2 linked regions of the Oryctolagus cuniculus genome follow. The protein of the gene in region 1 binds, or shares a complex with, the protein of each later gene. Links are inferred from orthologs where the notes say so. Each region holds a gene or a part of one and is shown on either strand. Other genes may lie near its edges.

Region 1 (10,580 bases):
ACGGCTGGCAACTTTTGGGAGAAAGAGCCAAAAGGCCCCGTTCCCAGAGTCTGCGCAGCCTTCGCTCCACTCCGGGAGATGCGCCACCAGGGGACACCCAGCCCCTGGCTCCCAGCTTTCGCGTGCGGCCAGGCAGGCGCTAGGCAGAGACCCCAGCAGAGCCGGCCGCCTCTTAGAAGCCCATGCACACCGCCACCTGGGCCCGCGCCCTCCTCGCCCCAGGCTTGCCTGGGCGGCGCCCGCCCCAGCCGGCCCCAGGACGGGGCTACACAGCTCTCCCGTTTCTTCCTATTTTCGAAAAAAAAAAAAAAAAAAAAGCGAGGGTGCTTTAAACATCTGCCCGGCCAAGAGTCTGATCCGGGCACAGGGCCGGGAAAAGTCATCTTCCCGGTTCGGGGTTGGCAACACGTCTCCCACTCCCCTGCCTCCAGCGCCTCGTTCACAGACAGAGCCAGGGCAGGGCACCCCCCGGATGGCTGCGGCCTCGCCCTGCGAACAAGTTTGCCCTGGCGCAGAAATGTGGGGGGCCGGCGCCGAGCCTGGACTGGGGGTGGGAGTCCCTGCATCTCGGGACCTGGCACACGGAGCCCCCGACCCCCGCCCCGTGTCGACCCCGGATCCGTGGCCCCGATCGATCAGTGTCCCCCCACCCCCGGTGGAGGAACCCCACTTACCCCACGACGGAAATCATCATGGCAGCCACCACCAGGTAGTTGGTCTGGTAGTACAGCAGGTTGCTCACCACACGGTTGTTCCATTTGGAAATGTCCCTGAAGTCCGGCCGGGCGAAGCGGTCAGAGCCCGGGAAGAAATCGTCCCAGGCGCGGAGTGGGGCGATATTCACGTCCATGTCTTCTTGGCTTTGGGTTCTTCGCCTCCGGAATCTGGCGGCGGCGGCAGCGGCAACCTATCCGGGTTAAAGAGCTGACAGCGGCTCCGTCTCGATCGGCTCTGCGGTTGGCGAGCAGCCGAGCAAGGGAAATTGGGAGCGGGAGGGCGTGTTTTCGCTCCTTTACTTCTCGATTGGCTCCAAGGGGTTGGTTACGGGAAAATGGGGGCCCCGCGACAGAGCAAGGCACCGAGCACACGGAATGGAGATGAAATGGCACTGAAAGCAATCAGCGGAAATCCAGTCTGCAGCAAGGTGGCAATGCCTTCCCTGACGGTCTAAATAGCAGCCCCCTTTTAACACCAGCGTTTAACCTAGGAATGTGTTTTCTGCCATAGAGAAAAAAATGCGCAGCTGTTCAGATGCTGATCTACGAAAAATGGAAGGAGACCACGGTATCACAAGAGGATGAGCTGTATTTAAAGACTGATTCTTAGTAACTTCTGTCCGATCGACCACAGTACTCATCTGCTTTCTGTTTCACCCTGAGTCACTAAGCGTGAAATCAGATGGGCAAAACGCGAAATAAGGAGGAGAGAAGGAAAGGGCTGTTTTGTTTTTTCACTTCTCTATTTTTGTTCTCCACCTCTATTCCTTTTGTGGCAAAATTATCGAACTGCTATGGCATTCTAAAAAAACTAACCCAGTAGGCGCACAGGTCACTGAAAGCCAACCATTGCTTGTGGTGAACTGATGGTTCTGCACCCTGTATTTTCTGAGCAGAAGCAAGACTTCCACTCCAAAGCAGCTTTCTCAGTTTTATCCCCATATTTGGTGACAATTTTCATTAAGGGAGCCCGGTATTGTAGTAGACAAGGTAATGGTTTGTTTGCCAGCCTCAACAATTGGCAAGAGATGTATTGTAAATACTTCTCTTCCAAGGCCCAGAGGGTCATCTTCGTTTTAGTTATGGGGCTGGTTGGTGCAGTAAACCTCCTCTTCTCTCAGATTCCTGAGCCAAAAGGACAGCCATCCCTTGGAATCCATGGAGGGTTGATTCTAGAATCCCCTAGAGAGCCAAGGCTGCGGATACTCACGTCCTCTACAGAAAGTGGTGCAGTGTTGATGTAGAACCTTCTCACATTCTCCTGTATATTTTACATAGCCTCTAGATTGCTAACGACACCTAATGCAATATTGTTTAGGGAATAATGACAAGAAAATGGTCATGTTCAGCATAGGTAACTTTTTTTAAACTATTTTTTAAAAACTATGTAAACTATTAAACAAACCATGGTTTGTTGAATCTATAGATGCAGAGACTGTATTTTGGTTAATTTCATAGTGTGTTAGGCAGCATGTGGAGATGACCATGTCTAAGGTGACAGGTTCTCACAACTTGGAAGTGGTACTGTTTTAACAAAGATCCAATATTCGTAAATTTTACCAGCTCACAGATTTTCAGAAAACTGGAAAGCACCAAGATATACTCGATACAAAGTCTATAAGAGATAAATTAACATTCCTGGTTGATTCAGAGGTAGTAAGAAACTGACTGTGACTCCAGTGAAATTCTTTCTGCTGCTGGTGCTTAGGAAAGCTCGGTGGCTGAACTGAATTAGTGCCAAGACAGATTCTAGGTGCTGCTAAAACGTGAAAATATCCCGAGTTCTCACACTTTCTTGGCTCTGGAAATGTGAGGGTTAAAATCAGAGAAAGCAAAGTTAGAGTCCTAGTTCCTCCCTCTCTGGCAGGTGACTTTGGGAAAATTTCTTCACCCCCTGCCCCACCAGCCTGAATTTCTTCATGATAAAGTGTGGAGAATAGGCCATCTGCCCATCTGCCACATAGGTCAGGATAAATGAAAGACTGGATGGGAAGTGTTCAGTGTTAGTAAAATAGCACAGTGTTATCTGTGGCGCGATCTACACCATCCTTGGCTCTAGCCCCAGCTGCCATTGCTAGAAGTCAGGTGACCAATAGCCCAACACCTCTCTCTCTCTCCCTCTCTCTCTCCCTCTCCCCCCTCCCTACTGTCAGATTTCCCCTGTCAATAAACCCTCTCCCTTAATTCTGGTGTTTGGTATGTTAGATATTTTGGTTCTTATTAATAATAGGACCGCCCATAATAATTTTTTAAATGATTCCTGTGCTTTTACAATGTCGTCCACTGACTTTTCTCTATTTTGTGGCAATGTTGTGGTGGTGGTTTGCCAGGGGAAGATATAGACAGAGGGAGAAACGGTTGAGAATGTTCAGGACATTGCCAACTGACATTCTAAGTGGTTTCAAGGCTCTGTGAAAGCACTGTGGAGTCAAAAACAGGGAGAATGAGGCAGCCCCTCCCCGCCTGCAGGGATCCTGCAGTGCAGCAGAAAGTCTATTTAGATGTGAGAGTGCCAAAGCGAGATGTGCCAGGCCTTGGTGTTCAGTTACAGGAAGTTAGAGGGTGTGGAGGAATTTCCTGGGGCTCAAGACTCTCCCCAAGCCACACTGTGAGCAAGCTGAGAAAATGATCTGGTCTAGATGAGCGGAGCATGGGAGCCGCAGGAGGGTCCCACACCTGCGACCCAGAACTCTCAGCTTCCAGCTGCTCTGAACTGCATCACCAGAAGCCGTCTGGTGACAAGGCGACAACTCATCATCCCAGACCATCAATTTGCTCAGTGCATTTGTATTTATTTGTTGAAACCTCTAAAGAGGTTTCAAAACTAAACAAAACAAAAGCAGGGCAGGCATGCTGGTGCAATGGATCAAGCCATTGCTTGTGATGACAGCATCCCATGTCAGAGTGCCCTGGCTCGTGACTTTGGCGATAACTGAGGTGTCCGTAGCTTTTCCCCAGGGGAGGTGGCTATGATGCTTTCGGCCACTAATAGAATACTATTTTGAAAGCGTCCCTGTGGGAGGGGCAGCCTCTAGGAGATCATTTTGATAGGCAAGGATTTCACCTCCATGGAGCTGTCTGGGCAAGAAGTGATTTCTGAGTTGATACAGAAACATGTGATCCAGAAAGGGGCTGGTGTCTCCTGCTGTGGGCTGTTGACTCCACTGCCGCACTCACTGCCTGGCACTGACTCAGCTCAGTGAAAGCCGTTGATGAACCCAGCTGGGGATGCTAAGGACAAGGCTTCCTTAAGGTTCAGTGGAGAAGACCACAAAGAACAGAGTAAACATCGCACTAATGTAACAGCAGCTACGCAGGCTGCGTACCCATTAGACAAAAAATACTTCTCCATTTCAGTGGTTCTTAAGCTTACGACTTCAGAATCATCCAGGGCTGGATTAGATTCACAACAAATTCCCAAGTAATGTTGATCAGGCCTTGTGTTTTGAGAACCACTTTGCTTAATTCTCAGTCTTAAAAGGCCAAAAACAGAAACAACCAAAAAAAAAAAAAAAAAAAAAACCAACCAAACAAAAAAAAACCAAAAAAACAAAAAACAAAAGGCCAAGCATTTTTTAAAATGACTGCTTTAAAAGAAAGTGCCCAAGGTCCTATAGTTAATTACTGAGAAGTAACAACTTAAATTTAGTTCTTTCTGACTTCAAATCCACTGGTGTCCTTCTCCAAAGAAGGATATGTCCGTGTGTTTGAATATATTTCTCTACCCCAGCATTCAGATTCACCTATACATGTATACACACTTCTGACACTGGAAGAAAGCAGTTAGAATGTTGTCACACGTATCTTTAGGTGATGGGATTATGAGTGTTCTAAGTCAGTTTTTAATTTTTCCTGCTTTCTAAGTATTTTTCTTCTATCTAAATACATATATTTATCTGATGTCCTCAAAGTTTTCCAGTATAGTTCCATTTTTGCTGAATTTATCTGACAGAATGAAGTGACACTAAAATACTGATTTTTTTCAAAAAGTAAAAAAATAACAAAATTCTATCCTACTCCTGTGAACAGATTTAGATAAATCTGTTCTTTTTTGAGAGGCAGAGAGAGAGAACTTCCATCTGTTGGTTCTTTCCCCAGATGGCTGCAACAGTTGAAGCTATGCTGATAAGAAGCCAGGAGCCAGGAGCTTCTTCTGGGTCTCCCACGTGGGTGCAGGGGCCCAAGCACTTGTGCCATCTTCTACTGCTTTCCCAGGCCACAGCAGAGAGTGGGATCAAAAGTGGGGCAGCCGGGACTCAAACCGGGGACCATATGGGATGCCGGCACTGCAGGCGGTGGCTTTACCTGCTACCCCACAGCTTCGGCCCCTTTAAATCTGTTCTTAAAGTGTGGACCTACACAGGCAAAGATTTTTGGGACGGTTCTTTGCTCCGGAGGCAAGCTCTAGCATACTGGAGTTAGCCTTCCAGGCATTTTTTCATTGAATATACCAACATTATATGTAATTCTTTATCAGCATATACATTGTATAAAAACAGAATGCTTTGCGTCCACATTTCACCCTGCGTGACATTACACAGGGCATAAGAGTTATCTAATGAGGGGTAGCTAATTAAGATCCTAATTGCAGCGGGACGCTTGCTTTCAAGCCCAGGGGCGCTAAGGCGCAGCCGACCCCTCCCCATCGTTGCAAGCCCCGCCCTCCCACAAGTCCCGCCCCTTCCCGCCGACTCCGCCCGCCGAGAGGGCACCTGGGAAGAGGCGGAGAACAATATGGCGGATGGCGAGGAGCCGTAAGTACCGGGGCTCTGCCGGCGCGCCGGGCTGGGCTGGGTTGTGAGAGAGCGCGGCGGAGGGCGGTCGCCGCCCCCACCCGGGGTCCCCTCCACTCCCCACCCCGTCCCCTCGCCCCCCATCCTCTCGCGGCGCCCAATGTGTAGCGTGATGCTGACCCTTCTTTTATTCTCTCTTTCTTTTAGGGAGAAGAAAAGAAGGAGAATAGAGGAGCTGCTGGCTGAGAAGTTAGTGCTGCCGGGAGGCCGGGGCCCTCTCCGGGGACCCCCGCCTCCCCTTACCCCAGGCCTAGGGGACCAGCCGCAGCGGGCCCATGGGGCTGGGAGGGGGGCACCCGGAGCTCAGGCCGCGCGGCCTCTTCCCCTGACCCCGGTCCCGCAGCAGCCCCGGGGGCCCCCGAGGGCCACTCCAGATTTGTGCCCCGGCGGGCGTCGGGGCCGGGGTGCACCTGCAGGGCCTTCAGGGGCCGCCGGGGCGTCTGACTTAAAGGTTTTGCGGAAGGACCGTTGTGCCCCCCTCTTCCTCCATCCCAAATTGTCATATCCTTGAGCTTGTGAAAAGGGAATCCAACTTACACACACACCTAACGGACACGGGGCCGTTTTGTTTTTGCCTTTCGTAAACACTGAGACAATAGTGCACACTGTGTGTGAAAACTGTGTTTCAGGTACTGTACTAAGCACGTCAACCATTTCTGCGAAATAATTGACTCTTAAAGGAGGGTGTTGACACCAACAGCTTATTTTTTCCCCACTTACCATACACCCCGTGTCTTACCAGATGATTAGTTTTGTGCTGGTGGGACAGATTTACACAGTGTTTTCGGACTGAGCCAGCGCCACATAATTTCTCTCCTCCCTACATGGGAGTGGAAAATACTCTCGCAGTGGGTGTGGTGAGTTTGTAATTTCTCTGCCAATTCCTGGTGCTTTGGTCATCCTGAGGTCTCTTCCCCCAGAACTTGAATTTCAACTGCTTAGAGTACTGGAATGACAGACTTTCCTCACCTTTGATTTCCCTTCCACTTTTGCACAAAGTGCACGACATGCCCCATCCTTTATTAAGTCCTCTGTGTTAATATCGCTTTATCCTCCTGGCCCTAAGAAGTTGCTCCCAATAGCCTGCAGTTGAGGTTTATGGCTATTCAGTAATCTGCTCAAGGTCATGGTGCTATTAGTTGTGGAGCCAAACCCGACTGCGCATCAAGACCTATGGTCTTTATTACTATGCAATACTTCTGGGTGTTACCAACATACTTGAAAGTAGAAAATTAAAAAATAACCACAACCAGATATGAATCTTGGCACTGATAAGACAGTTTGTACACTTTGGTAGAGAAGTCCCACTTTATGCAGTTGTATATCCTGAAAGGTTTCTAGGTGTGATGACAAGCTGAGTTTTTTTTTTTTTTTTTTTTTTTTTTTTTTTTTTTAACTGTAGTGGCAACAGAAACCACCTCACAGGACTCAGTAATTTTTGAAAATTTGGACTCCTGTTTCTGAGAAAACCATGTCAAAGCTTCTGTCATCAGAAATGATCTTTGAATCACACCTTTCAATAGAAAATAAAGAACACATGGGTGGTGGTAGATTTGAAGCCTCAGTTCTTAGAGTGTCCCTTTTGTTGTTTTCCCATGCATATGACATTGCCAGATCAGCTGACTTGAAAGAACATACTGGGGAAGGCTGCTGTGGTCTTGTGTAAATACCACATGTAGACAAGTCCATTTCTTACCCATAGACCAACATCCCAAGTTTGACCTTGGATTACTTGAGGAACAGGTAGACTGATTTTATTTTGTCAGGTGGATGAAATAAAAAGAAAAAAAAAATAGAAGCAATCACAGGCAGTTCTTAAGTGAACCGTATAATAGACAAGTGATAGGAGAGCATAGACATGACCACATTGATCATTCCCTTTCTGTTTGAGCAGGTCTTTTCATTTGGGGAAACCATAATAACTGTAGGTGTGGCTTTTTTCCGGACTGATCTTTGCAGCTGAATTTACTGTGTTCTGTGCAGAATGGCTGTTGATGGTGGGTGTGGGGACACTGGAGACTGGGAAGGTCGCTGGAACCATGTAAAGAAGTTCCTCGAGCGATCTGGACCCTTCACACACCCTGATTTCGAACCGAGCACTGAAGTGAGAAACGTTTATTTTTAAATAACTGCTCTAATAGTTTTATGTTTCAAACATAGTAAAATGCTTCCTTTTTTAATTTGCTCTTATGAAAACTAATTTTCTTATAAAACGTAGTATTTTGAAATACTCAATTGTATATTTACAATTTACTTGAGTGAATAATATTTGAGTAATTTTCACATTTCTCACGTAATATAAGTTGAAAGAGTTCAAGAGGAAAATAACTTCATAACTTTTAAAAATTCTGTTATACTTAAAACTCCAGTTCAAAATGATTTGAGACAAATTCCTCTTCAGTAGCCCTACTATAAGATAAAAGTATAGATATGCTTATTTAAATTTTGGAATTTAGTTGGATTATCTTAGAATTGAATATATTTAGTTGCATGTCAAAAATTATATGAGTGCTAACAGTGGCATAGAATTTTTGACTGATAATGTCTGACTTAAAGAAAATGTTCAATTAGATACCTGTTTTTCATTAGGTATAGGAAAGTAAGAAAAGTATTTTTACAGTAAGTACTTGTGTCCTTTTGTAGCTTTTTTTTTTTTAAGAGATACTGTTTTGAAAGAGAAATATTGTAGTACTCTTAATGTTAAGACTTCTGAGTTTGGCACAGTGTCTTACCTGAGTAACTTTTCTCCTTTAATGTTATATAGAACTGACAGTATTAATTCTGCTTTTTTTAGCTGATATACCTTATTTTCTTTGGTTTCTGATACTTTTTGCCTGATAATTTAAAATGACCATTTCTGTTAAATAAATGTTTCAAATTGTATTTCTGAAGACATGTAGTTTTCTCAGTTTTTCTTCCCATCATGTTTTATAAGTTTACCTTGCTATTATTGTTCTTACCTTATTTTTTTAGACTTTTGAACACCTCAGTGCTTGATCCTGGATTTTTAAGATTTTTAAACTTTGTGTGATTTTTAAGGAGTCAGTTCTCAATTTGAGGCTTTCCATTCCCTTTCAAAAATTAAGGAAAACAAGCGAGGATAGTTTTTCTTGTAGTCAATAGATGTTTAATTTCAGACAATAAAAGTCAATTTAAAAACAAATTCTCTGAAATCATTAAAGTTTTAGAGTTTCTGGTTGTATATAATTCATAGATTTGAAATGATCTGTAAAATATAAAAGGATGTTCTTTATCCTTAATTGCATTTTTGGTGGAAATGTTGAAAATTTTCTTATGACTTGTTGTTTGTGGATGGTATTTATGATTATCAGCAGATTTTAATGTGACTTTTTGTTCTTTACAGTCTCTCCAGTTTTTGTTAGATACATGTAAAGTGCTAGTCATTGGAGCTGGCGGCTTAGGATGTGAGCTCCTCAAAAATCTGGTAATACACATGTATATATAAAATGTCTCTCCCCTCCCCCTTTGTGATAAATAAAGCAGTTTGCTTTTTTTAAATACTAGGAAATATCTTTTTTTCTTTTTTAAAAAAAGCAATTTATTTCAGAATAGGTTTAAATTTATGACAGGAATTGTGAAGTGGTACAGAGTTCGCACATACTCTACACACCAGCTTCCTTTATTGTTAATATATTAGTATATTTGTCAGAATCTGTACACCATGCCCAGCTTCCCATTATTAATACCACATTTCAGTAAACTATATTTATTACAATCTATATCCAGCATCCCTTAATATCTAGCACTAGGAAATTTCTTTATTGTGTTTTCTTTTAAGATTTGTTTTATTTATTTGAGAGGCAGAGTTATAGACAGAGAGAGGTTTTCAATCCACTGGTTCACTCCCCCAGTGGCCGCAATGGCTGGAGCTGGGCCAACCCGAAGCCAAGAGCCGGGAGCTTCTTCAGGTCTCCCACATGGGTGCAGGTGCCCAAGGACTTGGGCCATCTTCTGCTGCCCTCCCAAGCACATTAGCGGGGAGCTGGATCAGAAGTAGAGCAGCCAGGACTCGAACAGGTACCCATATGGGATGCAGGCAGAGGCTTAACCTACTATGCCACAGCACTGGCCCCTATTGTGATTGTTAGCCTTTTCTTTCCTTTTTTTTTTTTTTTTTTTATTTAAAGATTTATTTATTTCTTTGAAAGGCAGAGTTACAGAGGTGTAGAGGCAGAGAAAGAGAGATCTATCTGCTGGTTCACTCCCCAGATGGCTGCAATGGTTAGAGCTGAGCTGATCCGAAGCCAGGAGCCAGGAGCCAGGAGTTTCTTTTGTGTCTCCCGTGTGGGTGCAGGGGCCAAGGACTTGGCCGTCCTCTGCTGCTTTCACAGGGCATAGCAGAGAGCTCTATTGGAAATGGAGCAGCCAGTGCCCATATGGGATGCTGGCACTGCAGGTGGCAGCTTCATCTGCTATGCCACAGTGCCAGCCCTGATTGCTAACCTTTTTTTTGGAGCTTTTGTTAGATAAGTTTAACAGGTCAGATTCTATATGGTAATTTAAGTGATAATATGACTTTGAAACTTTGTAGACTCTAAAGTTCTCAGTTATATAAAGTCATTGATAAATTTATGTTCATTTACTTCTCTGCTCTTTATTGAGCAAATTTTGGTACTTTCTTGTGAAGTGCTCATTAATTTCAGTGAAATAAATAAGAAAACAGATAATTCAGATTTTATTGTGTGGTTTCAAATAATTTAGTATTTTTCTTCTCCAAATAACCCAGATAGGTGGGTAGGACGTTCATTGTCTTGTTTTACCTAGACATAGGTTATGTTGAGGTTAGAGATGTTAAATGACTTGTCTGAGCATTTTGGATTGTAGTTATGTGCCTGCAATCTAATCTGGGTCATCAGTCCTTAGTTAAGTGTTCTTTTTCACTAAGACATTAGCTCATTATTTGACTTAATGAGATGGTAACTTTTTTTTTTTTTTTTTTGCCAGGCAGAGTTAGACAATGAGAGAGAGAACAGAGAGAGAGATATAGACAGTGAGAGAGATACAGAGAGAAAGGTCTTCCTTCCATTGGTTTACTCCCCTAATGGTTGCT
Region 2 (10,374 bases), on another chromosome or scaffold:
GGAGCAGCTGGCTGGGGGAGGTGTGTCTCTCCAAGGTTTTAACTGAACTTCACGGACTGAATATTTCCCCAAAATCCGGATGTGGAAGCCCGAACGCCAAGTGTGGCTGTGCTTGGAGTAATTCAGACTGAAGGAGGCCATGAGGCAGGATTCTCTCCTTATAAGCAGGAGCGTGGCCGCGCAGGGAAGGCGCTGGTTAAGATGTCCCCTATCAGAGTGCCCGCACCTGGGGCTCCACTCCTGCTGCCTGATTCCTGCGGGTGCAGGCCCTGGGAGGCAGCGGTGATGGCTCAGGTAAGTGGGTTATTACCACCCATCCACGTGGGAGATGTGGATCAAGTTCTCCCTTTTGGCACCCGGCCTGGGACCTAACCAGAGGTTGGGAGCTCTGTCTCTGCCCCTCTAAGAAACAAAAGGAAAACGAGAAGAGGAAGGGAGAGATGGCAGGGGGCCCATTCCCTGCCTCGTGCGTGCACCGCGAGGTGACGGCCACTTCCTGGTCCTCAGGATAAAATCTACCTTGCTGGACCTTAGCTTACACTTCCAGCATTCCCAAATGCGAGAGGACTAACAAAACCTGTTGTTTAAGCCCTGCTCGGTCTGGGGTCGGCATTGTGGTGTAGCAGGTAAACCACTGCCAGCGACGCCGGCATCCCGCGTCCTGGCTGCTGCACTTCTGACCCAACTCCCTACCAAGGGCCTGGGAAATGCAGTGGAGGATGGCCCAGGCAGCTGGGCCCCCGCCACCCACACGGGAGGCTGGGATGAAGCTCCTGGCTCCTGACTTTGGCCTGGGCCAGCCCTGGCCATTGCAGCCATCTAGGGAGTGGACCAGTGGATGGAAGATCAATCTCTCTCTCTCTGCAACTCTTGCCTTTAAATGATAAATAATTAAATCTTAAAGAAAAAAAAAAAAGTCCCTAGTCTGGCACCATCCAGCAGCCTGAGCTCATTAACACTGTGGCAGAGGTCACCAGAGGTCACTTTCATCTGCAGATGCTTCCTGAGCCCAGCAGGCACCGGTCGACCAGCTGGCAGGCTGCTCCGGGCCGGAGCGCCCAAAGCCCTGGGTGAGGCTGCACGGCCCCTGCGCCTGCGTTCAGAAGGCCCTCGTGTGCGGCTCCACAGGCTACAGAGCCTGGGAGACGGACAAGGAGCAGAACCTGTTCCTTACGGCTCTGGAGGCGACCACGCAGGATCAGGTGCCGGCAGCTTCGAGAGCCGCCTTGCTGCGTCTCCAGGAAGCAGAGACAGAGAACCCGCTCGCTATGGCGTGCCCCTGTTCACGATGGGAGCCCACGTGACCTAAACACCCCAACACTGCTGGCACGGGGACAGGTTCCAACATGTGAGCTATGCAGGGAACAGAAACAGGGACACCCCCCTTCCATGCCCCAAGCTTTTGGGGTCCAACTTCCAGGGAGCCGCTGCCCAAGGCGGCAGGGGTGGACAGGATGGGAAGGTCTCCTCCTCCTCTCCTATGGGAGGAGCCTGAAGGGGAAGCCTCCCCCTGCCCCCAGTGCCCCGGAGAGGCCAGGGCCCCAGCTCCGCGGAGGCCCCTGGAAGGACAGGACTGAGGGGACAGGCCCACAGGCAGTGAACCCGGCACTGGCCCGGAGCCCCCAGAGCCGCCCTCCTCACATCCAGTCCTCTAAGTCTTCTGTGCCAGAGCTAGTGCAGGCTGGGGTTCCGGGAGAGCCTGGGACGCAGGCACGATTCACCTGGGGACCACCGTCCGCTCCCTCGCTGCTGCTTCGCGGCCACTGTGCCGGCTGGGGGCAAATCCCAGGTTAGCTTAACGTCGGTGCCTCACTCACCTCACCCTACAGACACTGGCTTTGCGAGGTCCTGGTGAGGGTGATGGCAGAACACATACCGAGGAGGCAGCCTCCCCAGGCGCAGCCACGAACTGACCTCCTGTGTGACGCAGGCCGATCCACTCAGAGCCAAAGACAGGTGTCCAGGCTGATCAGCCCTCCCTCCACCCAGGGCCTGGCCCCAGCTCTTATCTCCTATCGCCAGCTCGCCGCCACCAGCTGACGCAATATTTACCCAGCAGATGTGCGCCCAGCACCTGCCCCGCGCCAGGGCGCCCAGGACTCACTTGGGGCCACAGGCAGTGGCCGCAGGGGTGCAGCACCAAGGAGAAGGCCCGAGGGGGTCTCCCCCAGCCCCCTCCCCCAGGGCTGAGCGGTGGCTAAGCCTGGGGGAGCTTCGAGTCTTCCTGACTTCCCTCCCACCGGCCCAGGGACAGCAAATCTGACAGGTGTCATTCACCCTCTGAGCCTTCGCTGACTCCTGGCGAACCCCGGCACGGGAAGGACTCGCACTCCACTCGCTAGGAACAGAAAGCTCCCACCAGGCTTTAAACACATTCACGAGAGAAAAGCAGGTGCACACGTGACCGGCGAGGACAGGACAGGGCCTCTGCACCCCCGGCTCTCCATCCGTCGAGGCGGGCGACTCCGGCCTGGCCGCTCCTCCAGGGCGAACCCCGGAATGAACGTAGCACAGCACAGCCCCGGAGCCTCGAGCGCCCCGCCGCTCCCCACGCCGAGCTCGGGCGCGCAGGCTCCGGCACCCGCGGGGGGCCCCGCCCCCGCCCCGCCCCCGGCCGCCACTGGCCAATCAGTCAGGGCCGTGAAAATTTGTCCCCACCCCCAGCCGCCGCTCTCTGCCAATCAGCGAGGGCCACACGACGCCCCTCCCGGCCCGCGCACGCAGCTGTTCGCGAGTCCGGCTCCAAATAAAGTTCTTCGCCGCTTTGAATCTTTTTTTTAAAGCGCCCGCTGCCTTCGCGGCTGTCGCAGGAGAGACCGAGTCCCCGCCCCGCCACTTCCGGTCCCGCCGCCCGGAGCCGGTGCGGCTGTGAGGGGCCGCGTCTCGCCGCCGCCGCCGGGCCGGGCATGGTGTTGGGCGCCGGGCCCGCCTCGCCTGTCTCCGGGTGCCCAGGTGAGGAGCGGCCGCGCGGCCCCGCGGGGGCCGGGGCCGGCTGCGGGCTCCCTCAGCGCCGGTGCACCGGCGGGCCTGGGCCGGCCGGGAGGGCGCTGACCGCGCCGGGGCCGAGAGGCCCGGCGACGTGAAGGGGCAGGGCCGGGGCCGCGGCCGCGCGAGTGACAGGGGCCGGGGCGCTGGCCTCGCCGGGCGAGCGAGCGGCGGTGGCGACGGCGGGCGGCCGCGCCGGCCACTGGTGGGCGCCGGGCCCGCGCCCAGCGGCACCGGCCCGCGCCCGCCCCACGTCGCGGGGCTGCTGCTGCATCGTGCGGGGCCAAGGTCAGCGGCCGGACGTGGCCGGGACTCCGGGCTGCTGCGGGGGTCGCGCTAGGCCGCGCCCCGGGCGGGGGGGGGGGCTGGGCTGGCGAGGGAGGGTGTCTGGCTGCGGAGCCGGAGCCCACCCGGGTTTGCCGGTGCGCGGGCTTGGGTGTGGCCTCCCCCGGCCTGGACTGCTTCCTCGCCTGGGCCCGCCCCTCTCGGTGCCCTCGGCGCGGGGTGCGGGGCTTCAGGAGTTGGAATCCAGGCAGGACTCTGGGCTCCTCGAGGAAGGGTAGGATTGGGTGGTGCAGGAGCCCAGCCCCGGTGTCAGAGGGGACGGAAGCTTCTGGAAGTGCGCAGGGGCGTGTGGAGGAGCTGAGGGGCTGGCCTGCCAGCTGCAGAGGGGGGTGAAGGCCCTGGGGACCCCCACCTGGGTGTACCTGCGGGCCCAGGTCTACTGCTGAGAACCAAGCGGCCGGGCTCCAGCCCCCTGGCCAGGCACTGGCTTCCGGAGAAGAGGAGTAGGGGCAGGACTTGTCCCTGCCCTGAGCGGGGCCCGCTAGGAACGGGGGGTGGGGGGGGCTCTGCTGTGCTTGCACTGGGGCTTCTCCGTGGCAGGAGTTGTCCACGTGGGGGTCCCCACAGCGGGCCCTGACCGCCCCTGGAGGCCCGGCTTTCCCACAGGTGCAGCTGTGCCGAGTGACCTGAGGCTGGATGTAACCCAGGTCCTCTCCTCGGTGCAGGCTGAGAGCAGGGCCCACGCAGAGGAGCCCGGCTGGGCCGGTTACGAGCCGTGGCGTTTGGAGACAGCTGGTCTGTCCTGCCTGAACTGCCGCCTTAGCGCGAATGGCAGGAAAGGGGAAGTTTGGTTTTAAATTCGGTTTTCAAGAAGTGAGGCGATGGCCGGCGCCGCGGCTCACTAGGCTAATCCTCCACCTTGCGGCGCCGGCACACCGGGTTCTAGTCCCGGTCGGGGCACCGGATTCTGTCCCGGTTGCCCCTCTTCCAGGCCAGCTCTCTGCTGTGGCCCAGGAGTGCAGTGGAGGATGGCCCAAGTGCTTGGGCCCTGCACCCCATGGGAGACCAGGAGAAGCACCTGGCTCCTGGCTTCGGATCAGCGCGGTGCGCCGGCCGCGGCGGCCATTGGAGGGTGAACCAACGGCAAAGGAAGCCCTTTCTCTCTGTCTCTCTCTCTCACTGTCCACTCTGCCTGTCAAAAAAAAAAAAAGAGAGAAGTGAGGCGAACGGAAGGGAAGAGGATCCAGAGCGGTGTCGGCTGACCTCCTGCCGGTCGGAAGGATTCTTTTGCCCGAATTCTTCTGCGTAGATTCAGTTTCACAGCCGTGGAGACGTTGCCAAGCTGCGTCTCTGGTTATCTCTGTGTTGGCTACAGAAGACGGAGAAAAAGGTGGCCCCGATATGCTTTGATTTCGAAGAATTTGGGGAGAGTAAGCTTTGTGTTCCATGAAAGACAAGGCAGTTGGTGCCCGGTGTGTTCTACGAAGGTCCCCAGCGTATTTTTTTTTTAAGATTTTATTTATTTATTTGACAGGTAGAGTTACAGACAGTGAGAGAGAGACAGAGAGGTCTTCCATCCGCTGGTTCACTCCCCAAATGGCCGCAACGGCCGGTGCTGCGCCGATCCGAGGCCAGGAGCCAGGTGCTTCCTCCTGGTCTCCCATGCAAGTGCAGGGGCCCAAGCACTTGGGCCATCCTCCACTGCCCTCCTGGGGCCACAGCAGAGAGCTGGCCTGGAAGAGGAGCAACCGGGACTAGAACCCCGTGCCCATATGGGATGCTGGCGCCTCAGGCAGAAGATTAACCAAGTGAGCCACGGCGCTGGCCCCCGGTCCCTGGCGTATTAAAGGCAGCAAGCCAGGATCTGAGCTCAGGGGCGCGTGGGCATCCCCTGCGCACAGGACTTCAGGGCGCGTGGGCAGTGTTGCTGAAATGAGTGGCCACTGTGCTCGGCCCCTCTGCAGCTGTTGGCCTAGGTCGTCGGGGAGCTGGTTTGGACCACGCGTGTGGCCCTGGGGTCCTGCCTGCTGGTCTTTAAGCACTTTGTGCCTTTGCCTATCTGTTACTTTTTGCCTTATTTTCAATGCTAAGGTCAGTTAGAGGACAGAAACGTGTTGGTTCTCGTGTGGGGCATCTGGTGCTTCCAGCTGACCCCGGGGGGATGGATGCAGACCTGGGTCCATCCAGAAGTGACCCTGACAAGGTGCTGGAGCCTGGGCACATGGCAGTGGGCTTGGCTGTGGAAGCCAGCACTGCTCTCTGCTTCCAGTCTGCTTAGGGGTTCCTGATAGGTCACTCCAGGCGCTGCCAGGGCGGGGAACTGGGCTGCTGGCTCCAGGAATTTGTGGGCTGAAGCCCCCACAGGTGTCCTGACTCTTCCCCTGTGAAGTGAGTTCATCAGATGCACTGCTGGCTCGCTGGGCCTTGGTGAAGGTGTGTTCCCTGTTGGGTCCGTGCCCCTGTGGGGGCCTGCTTGAGCAGGTGGCGTGGTAGAGAGAATGAAGAAACTGGTGTTGTCTTCACAGTTTTGTCAGCTTTACTGGGTTACAGTTGTAGCTACACTAAGCTGCACGTTTGAAACATGAAGTCAGTCGGTCCTGACGTACGTATGCCCTGAAACCATGACCACACTCAAGATAAAAATCACGTCTGTGATTCCCCAGGAGAGAAGCTAGTGTTTCTGTGGTGACTGCTTCTAGCAGTGAAGTGACTTTGGACAGTCCACTTCTGGGGTTCCCGTTTTCCCAGGGTCCACTTGGGAAAATGGAGGCAAGTCAGGGGTAGGAGTGCTTCCCAGATTTGCAATCCTAGGGGCCCGCGAACTCTAGTCTGTAAAGCTCCTTTTGGAACATTTAAATCCGTGCTGCTTGCTTTTTACTTGAAAGGCACAGGGAGAGAGAGAGAGGTCGATCTTCCATCTGCAACAGCCAGATCTGGGCCAGGCCAAAGCCGGGAGCCAGGAACTCCATCCAGGTGTCCCAGGTGGGAGGCCGTCATCCACCGCCGCCCTAGCCGGTAGCAGGAAGGCAGAGCGGCTGAGACTCATGCTGGCGTGGGATGTGCACATGTGAGTAGCAGCTGAACCCTGCACCACGGTGCTCGCTCCTAGAGCAGTGTTTGTTTAGAGCAGGTGGGTGTATCTGTGTTCCCAGCACGGCAGGGGCCATGCACAGTACCGAAGGTCATGTCAGTGTTTTGTTTTCATACACAAATGATAAGTGAAGTCTGACAGTCTAGAGGACTCGGACGTAACACGCTACACAGAAGAGCTGGGTCAAAATGGTTTAAAATACCAACGAGGAGGGGCCGGCACTGTGGCGCAGCAGGTTAATGCCCTGGCCTGAAGCACTGGCATCCCATATGGGCGCCGGTTCTAGTCCCAGCTGCTCCTCTTCCCATCCAGCTCTCTGCTGTGGCCAAGATCGCCCAAGTCCTTGGGCCCCTGCACCCACGTGGGAGACCCGGAAGAAGCTCCTGGCTTCGGATCGACGCAGCTCTGGCTGTTGCGGCTATCTGGGGAGTGAACCAGCAGATGGAAGATTCTCTCTCTACCTCTTTACCTCTCTCTCTCCCTCTCTCTGTAACTGTCTTTCAAATAAATAAATGAATCTAAAATACCAGAGAGGAGAGGGCTGATTTCTTCTGTCGGGCTTCTAGGACCTTGGCCTCCGAGCAGCTCCGTGCTTCCGTCAGGGTGTTCTCTGGGAGAGTGGTGTAGGAAGGAAATGATGCGAACACAATTGTGCAGAAATGTTGAGCTGGTAACCAGATTTTGTCTTTAAAACAGGGTTGTAGGGTCCCTCTCTGTTGTAGAGGGGTGAGAGCAGCAGGAATCTCGGGTTCACGGCAGTTCGTTGGGAACAGGGGCAGGCCCTAGTCCAGGTATTGGTAGACTCCGATGTGCCCTCTGCTGGGGGATATCGGTAGTGGGGACGGTGTGGCGTGTGCATGGGGACTGGCGATATGTGGGAGATGGGAGATCTCCGAACCTTCTCAGCTTTATTGTGAACTTAAAACTTAAAAAAAAAAAAAGCCTAAAAATCGGTGGTGTTTCTTTCCCTTGCCCTGAGCAGTCTGGGGGCCCTTGAACACACAGTGGTGTGGGGCGTTCACTGTAACTCAGTCTTGATGTTGACGTCGCCGGCCATGTTAGTCGCCCACACCATGAGCAGACGCGGAGGTGCGGATGGGCTGTCTACGAGGCCTGTGGTGCGGCTTCTCCAGAGGCCGTGGCTCGCTCATCCCCAGCAGGCTGGGCTCTGGGCCACACGCCGGGGGCACAGACCCCCAGGCTGGGAGGGACAGGCTGCAGGGGACAGCGGGAGGCGTGTGCAGCACCACTGGGGCTCCCCCGACCACGCTCTCCACCAGGGTGCAGGCTGGGGCCTGGCACAGGCGGTGCGCGGTGAATGTGCAGCTCACAGCTCTGCCTTCGTAAACTTTTCATTCCGGCTCTAGAAAGCGATGGCCCACGGCGTAGAGTACTCAGATCTTCGTGGAGGAACCCGTTCTTACTAACCAACGCAAAATCCCTCGGCGCGTTAGAGAAGGGAGTGAGAATGCAGCGCGGGCGTGTCTTCGCGCCTGGCCTCTGACTCCCCCTGCCCTGCTGTGCTCTGCTCCCAGGGGAAAGGTGGCAGCGATGCTGACACTGGCCAGCAAGCTGAAGCGGGACGACGGGCTCAGAGGGTCCCGGACGGCAGCCTCGGCGGCGGACTCCACGCGGAGGGTCTCCGTGAGAGACAAGCTGCTCGTGAAAGGTAATCCCTGTCTCTGAGCTGTGTGTGCTGGAAGCTCTCTGGGACACGAAGCAGGCTGTTGCTGAGCAGAACTTCCTGTTTAAACGGGTTTTCAAATGCGACGTGCTTACCGCTTACAGCAGGGCTTTGTGGGACGCTGATGGCGGGGACTGGCGTTAGGAACTGCAGGAGTCTCACCTTCGCGATGTCCTTTGTTGGGCCTTCCAGCGTGCAGGTGAAGGCAGGCCCAGGCGTGGCCCGTCTCAGTGCTGTCATCGTCCTCTCCTCCTGCCACTCAGCACCGTGGCTCCCAGTCTGTAAGATGGAGGGAGCTGAACTGGGTGGTCTCTTGGGATCCTTTCCTGTTTACTCTGTCGAAGTGTGAGGCACGCCCTTGGCAAATGAGCTCCCGTCACGGGCACAGCAGTGTCTTGGCGCTGCATCCGTTTGCACTGTCCCTGCTGGAAAGGAAGCCGACTTTGAGAAGCTTTGCAGACTTGCAGTGCGTGGGGATGCGTGGGGGTGTGACGTGGGTTTGCCTGTGTGTGTGTGACTTTCCCCTTCATTCACTGGGTTTACTGCGTGCAGGTGCAGGGGGGCACTTTGGGCTCATGAAGCCTACAAACTGTAACGAACAGTTGCTGCCTTGAAGGGGTTGTGCTTTGCAGCACTTGTATTTTATGACAGATGTTTACACTTCTTGAAGCTGGAAAGCACTGAGTTGAGTAGTGTGTTCCAACTGCCCGTTTTCACGTGGGGTCAGAGGCAGCATGGGATTCTGGCATTCGTGTGACTGAAGGGCTCTGACGGCAGGAGGCTGGTGTGTGGAAAGTGCACAGGGTTTGGCCTTCCCAGACACACATCACCACCAAGCGGGGACGGAACGGGGACAGGAAAGCACTGGTTTATAGAGACAAGAGCGTGTTCTTCCTTGTTCTTTCCCTTCCTTGTTCTTCCCCTGCTCCGAATCTTAGCTTTGGCTTATCCTTTGAAAAAAAAAAAATAGATTTACTTATTTATTTGAGAGGCAGAGAGAGAGAGGTCTTCTATCCACAGGTTCACTCCCCAGATGGCCACAATGGCCGGAGCTACGCCGATCCAAAGCCAGGAGCTTCCTCTGGGTCTCCCATGTGGGTGCAGGGGCCCAAGGACTTGGGCCATCCTCCACTGCTTTCCCAGGTGATAGCAGAGAGCTGGAGCGGCCGGGACACAAACCAGCGCCCGTGTGGGATGCCGGCATTGCAGGCAGTGGCTTTAACTGCTCTGCCACAGCATCGGCCCCTGGGTTATCCTTTTTATCCTCTTGGCCTTACCCACTGAGTCCAGGGAACACTAGATCATACTCAGTTTGTCACAGCACTGGAAGGTTTACCCTGCTGGGATCAGGGGTGACACGTGGGCCAGAAATGCCCGTGCGTGTTAGGAAGGACTGGAGCCTCCTTTTCCGATCCGGGCATCCAGTGAGCCAAGTGCAGGCTTGGGCGTGCTTCTGCGGTGCCTTTGTGGGGCAGGTTTTACGCCAGGGGTTGCAGTGAGAGCTGGGCCCCCGAGGAGGAGCAGGTAGAAGCTGACAGGTGACCGGGGTGACCGGGCCCATCTTCCTCAGCCTGTCATGTACGCGGTCGTGCAGCTTCTGAGCACTGGCCACCTAGGGCCAGGCCCTTCGCTGGGCACCGTATTCCGTGTGTGCTGCCGTGTGACACACTGCAGCCTGAGGAGTTTGCAGGTAACGGAGACGTATTTCTCACGGGTCTGGAGGCTGTGAAGCCGCGTCTGGGCTCCAGTGGGGTTGGTGTGAGTGAGGGCCGCTCTCCTTCAAGGTGGTGCTTTGTTCTTGCATCCTCCAGGGGGGAGAGCGCCGAGACCGCGGGGCCGAAAGCCCTCAGCCAGTTCTCTCCAGCCTTTGTGGGAGGCACTAATGCATTCGCGAGGGCGGAGCCCTCACGGCCTCATCACTTCCCAAAGGCCTGCCTCCCAGTACCACCAGTGAGGGTTACGCTTTCAGTGGATTTGGACAAATTGAAACCATAGCAGGCCCTTTACCGGGTCATCCCCGTTTGCCTTGCAGAGCCATGCCGAGTGGGTGCTTCACTCTGCAGCTGCAGAGCGGAGACCTGGAGCGGTTAGGGATGTGCCCAGGTTGCAGCTTTAGCGCAGCAGGGTAGCCAGACCCATGCAGCAGGTGGGCTGGGCTCTCCAGCAGATGGAATCGCAAGTCCCCAGAAGCTCATCTCCAGGGTCCTGCTCAGGGGCTCACCTGGGAGCCCTCAGGTGGCTCCAGGACCTGACAGGCTCGGGGACTCACTGGGGCTCTCGAGGCTGGACTCCGTACCAGCTCCGAGGCAGAGGTCTTCGGCTGGGTTGA

Evidence for each region. The genes of interacting proteins can lie anywhere in the genome.
Region 2: the proteins of UBA3 (region 1) and UBE2F are in contact, whole or in part, in a crystal structure (PDB 3FN1), measured with the Homo sapiens proteins. The link is inferred for Oryctolagus cuniculus from reciprocal best matches to the Homo sapiens genes UBA3 and UBE2F. Residues at the interface, in NP_003959.3 of Homo sapiens: Ala401, Thr403, Thr405, Leu406, Glu407, Gly408, Asn410, Arg411, Thr412, Ser417, Val418, Thr419, Ser420, Ile421, Arg424, Thr425, Gln442, Glu443, Ala445, Ala447, Asp448, Val449, Thr451, Pro452, Gln453, Thr454, Leu456; in NP_001265234.1 of Homo sapiens: Thr27, Arg28, Arg29, Val30, Asp34, Lys35, Val38, Lys39, Val41, Ala42, Glu45, Val54, His55, Phe56, Pro57, Asp58, Pro59, Asn60, Leu62.

Annotation. Positions count from the first base shown.
Region 1 is NC_091441.1:80,253,150-80,263,729, forward strand, and holds the start of UBA3 (NEDD8-activating enzyme E1 catalytic subunit), read left to right. Parts: upstream 1-5,364; 5' UTR 5,365-5,450; coding exon 5,451-5,470; intron 5,471-5,656; coding exon 5,657-5,698; exon of another isoform or gene 5,699-6,138; intron 6,139-7,492; coding exon 7,493-7,613; intron 7,614-8,873; coding exon 8,874-8,954; intron 8,955-10,580. Other genes in the region: ARL6IP5 (PRA1 family protein 3), read right to left, coding at 675-850. UniProt on the Homo sapiens protein: Catalytic subunit of the dimeric UBA3-NAE1 E1 enzyme. E1 activates NEDD8 by first adenylating its C-terminal glycine residue with ATP, thereafter linking this residue to the side chain of the catalytic cysteine, yielding a NEDD8-UBA3 thioester and free AMP.
Region 2 is NC_091434.1:2,367,564-2,377,937, reverse strand, and holds the start of UBE2F (NEDD8-conjugating enzyme UBE2F), read left to right. Parts: upstream 1-5,091; 5' UTR 5,092-6,314; coding exon 6,315-6,337; intron 6,338-7,896; coding exon 7,897-8,030; intron 8,031-10,374. UniProt on the Homo sapiens protein: Accepts the ubiquitin-like protein NEDD8 from the UBA3-NAE1 E1 complex and catalyzes its covalent attachment to other proteins. Together with the E3 ubiquitin ligase RNF7/RBX2, specifically neddylates cullin-5 (CUL5).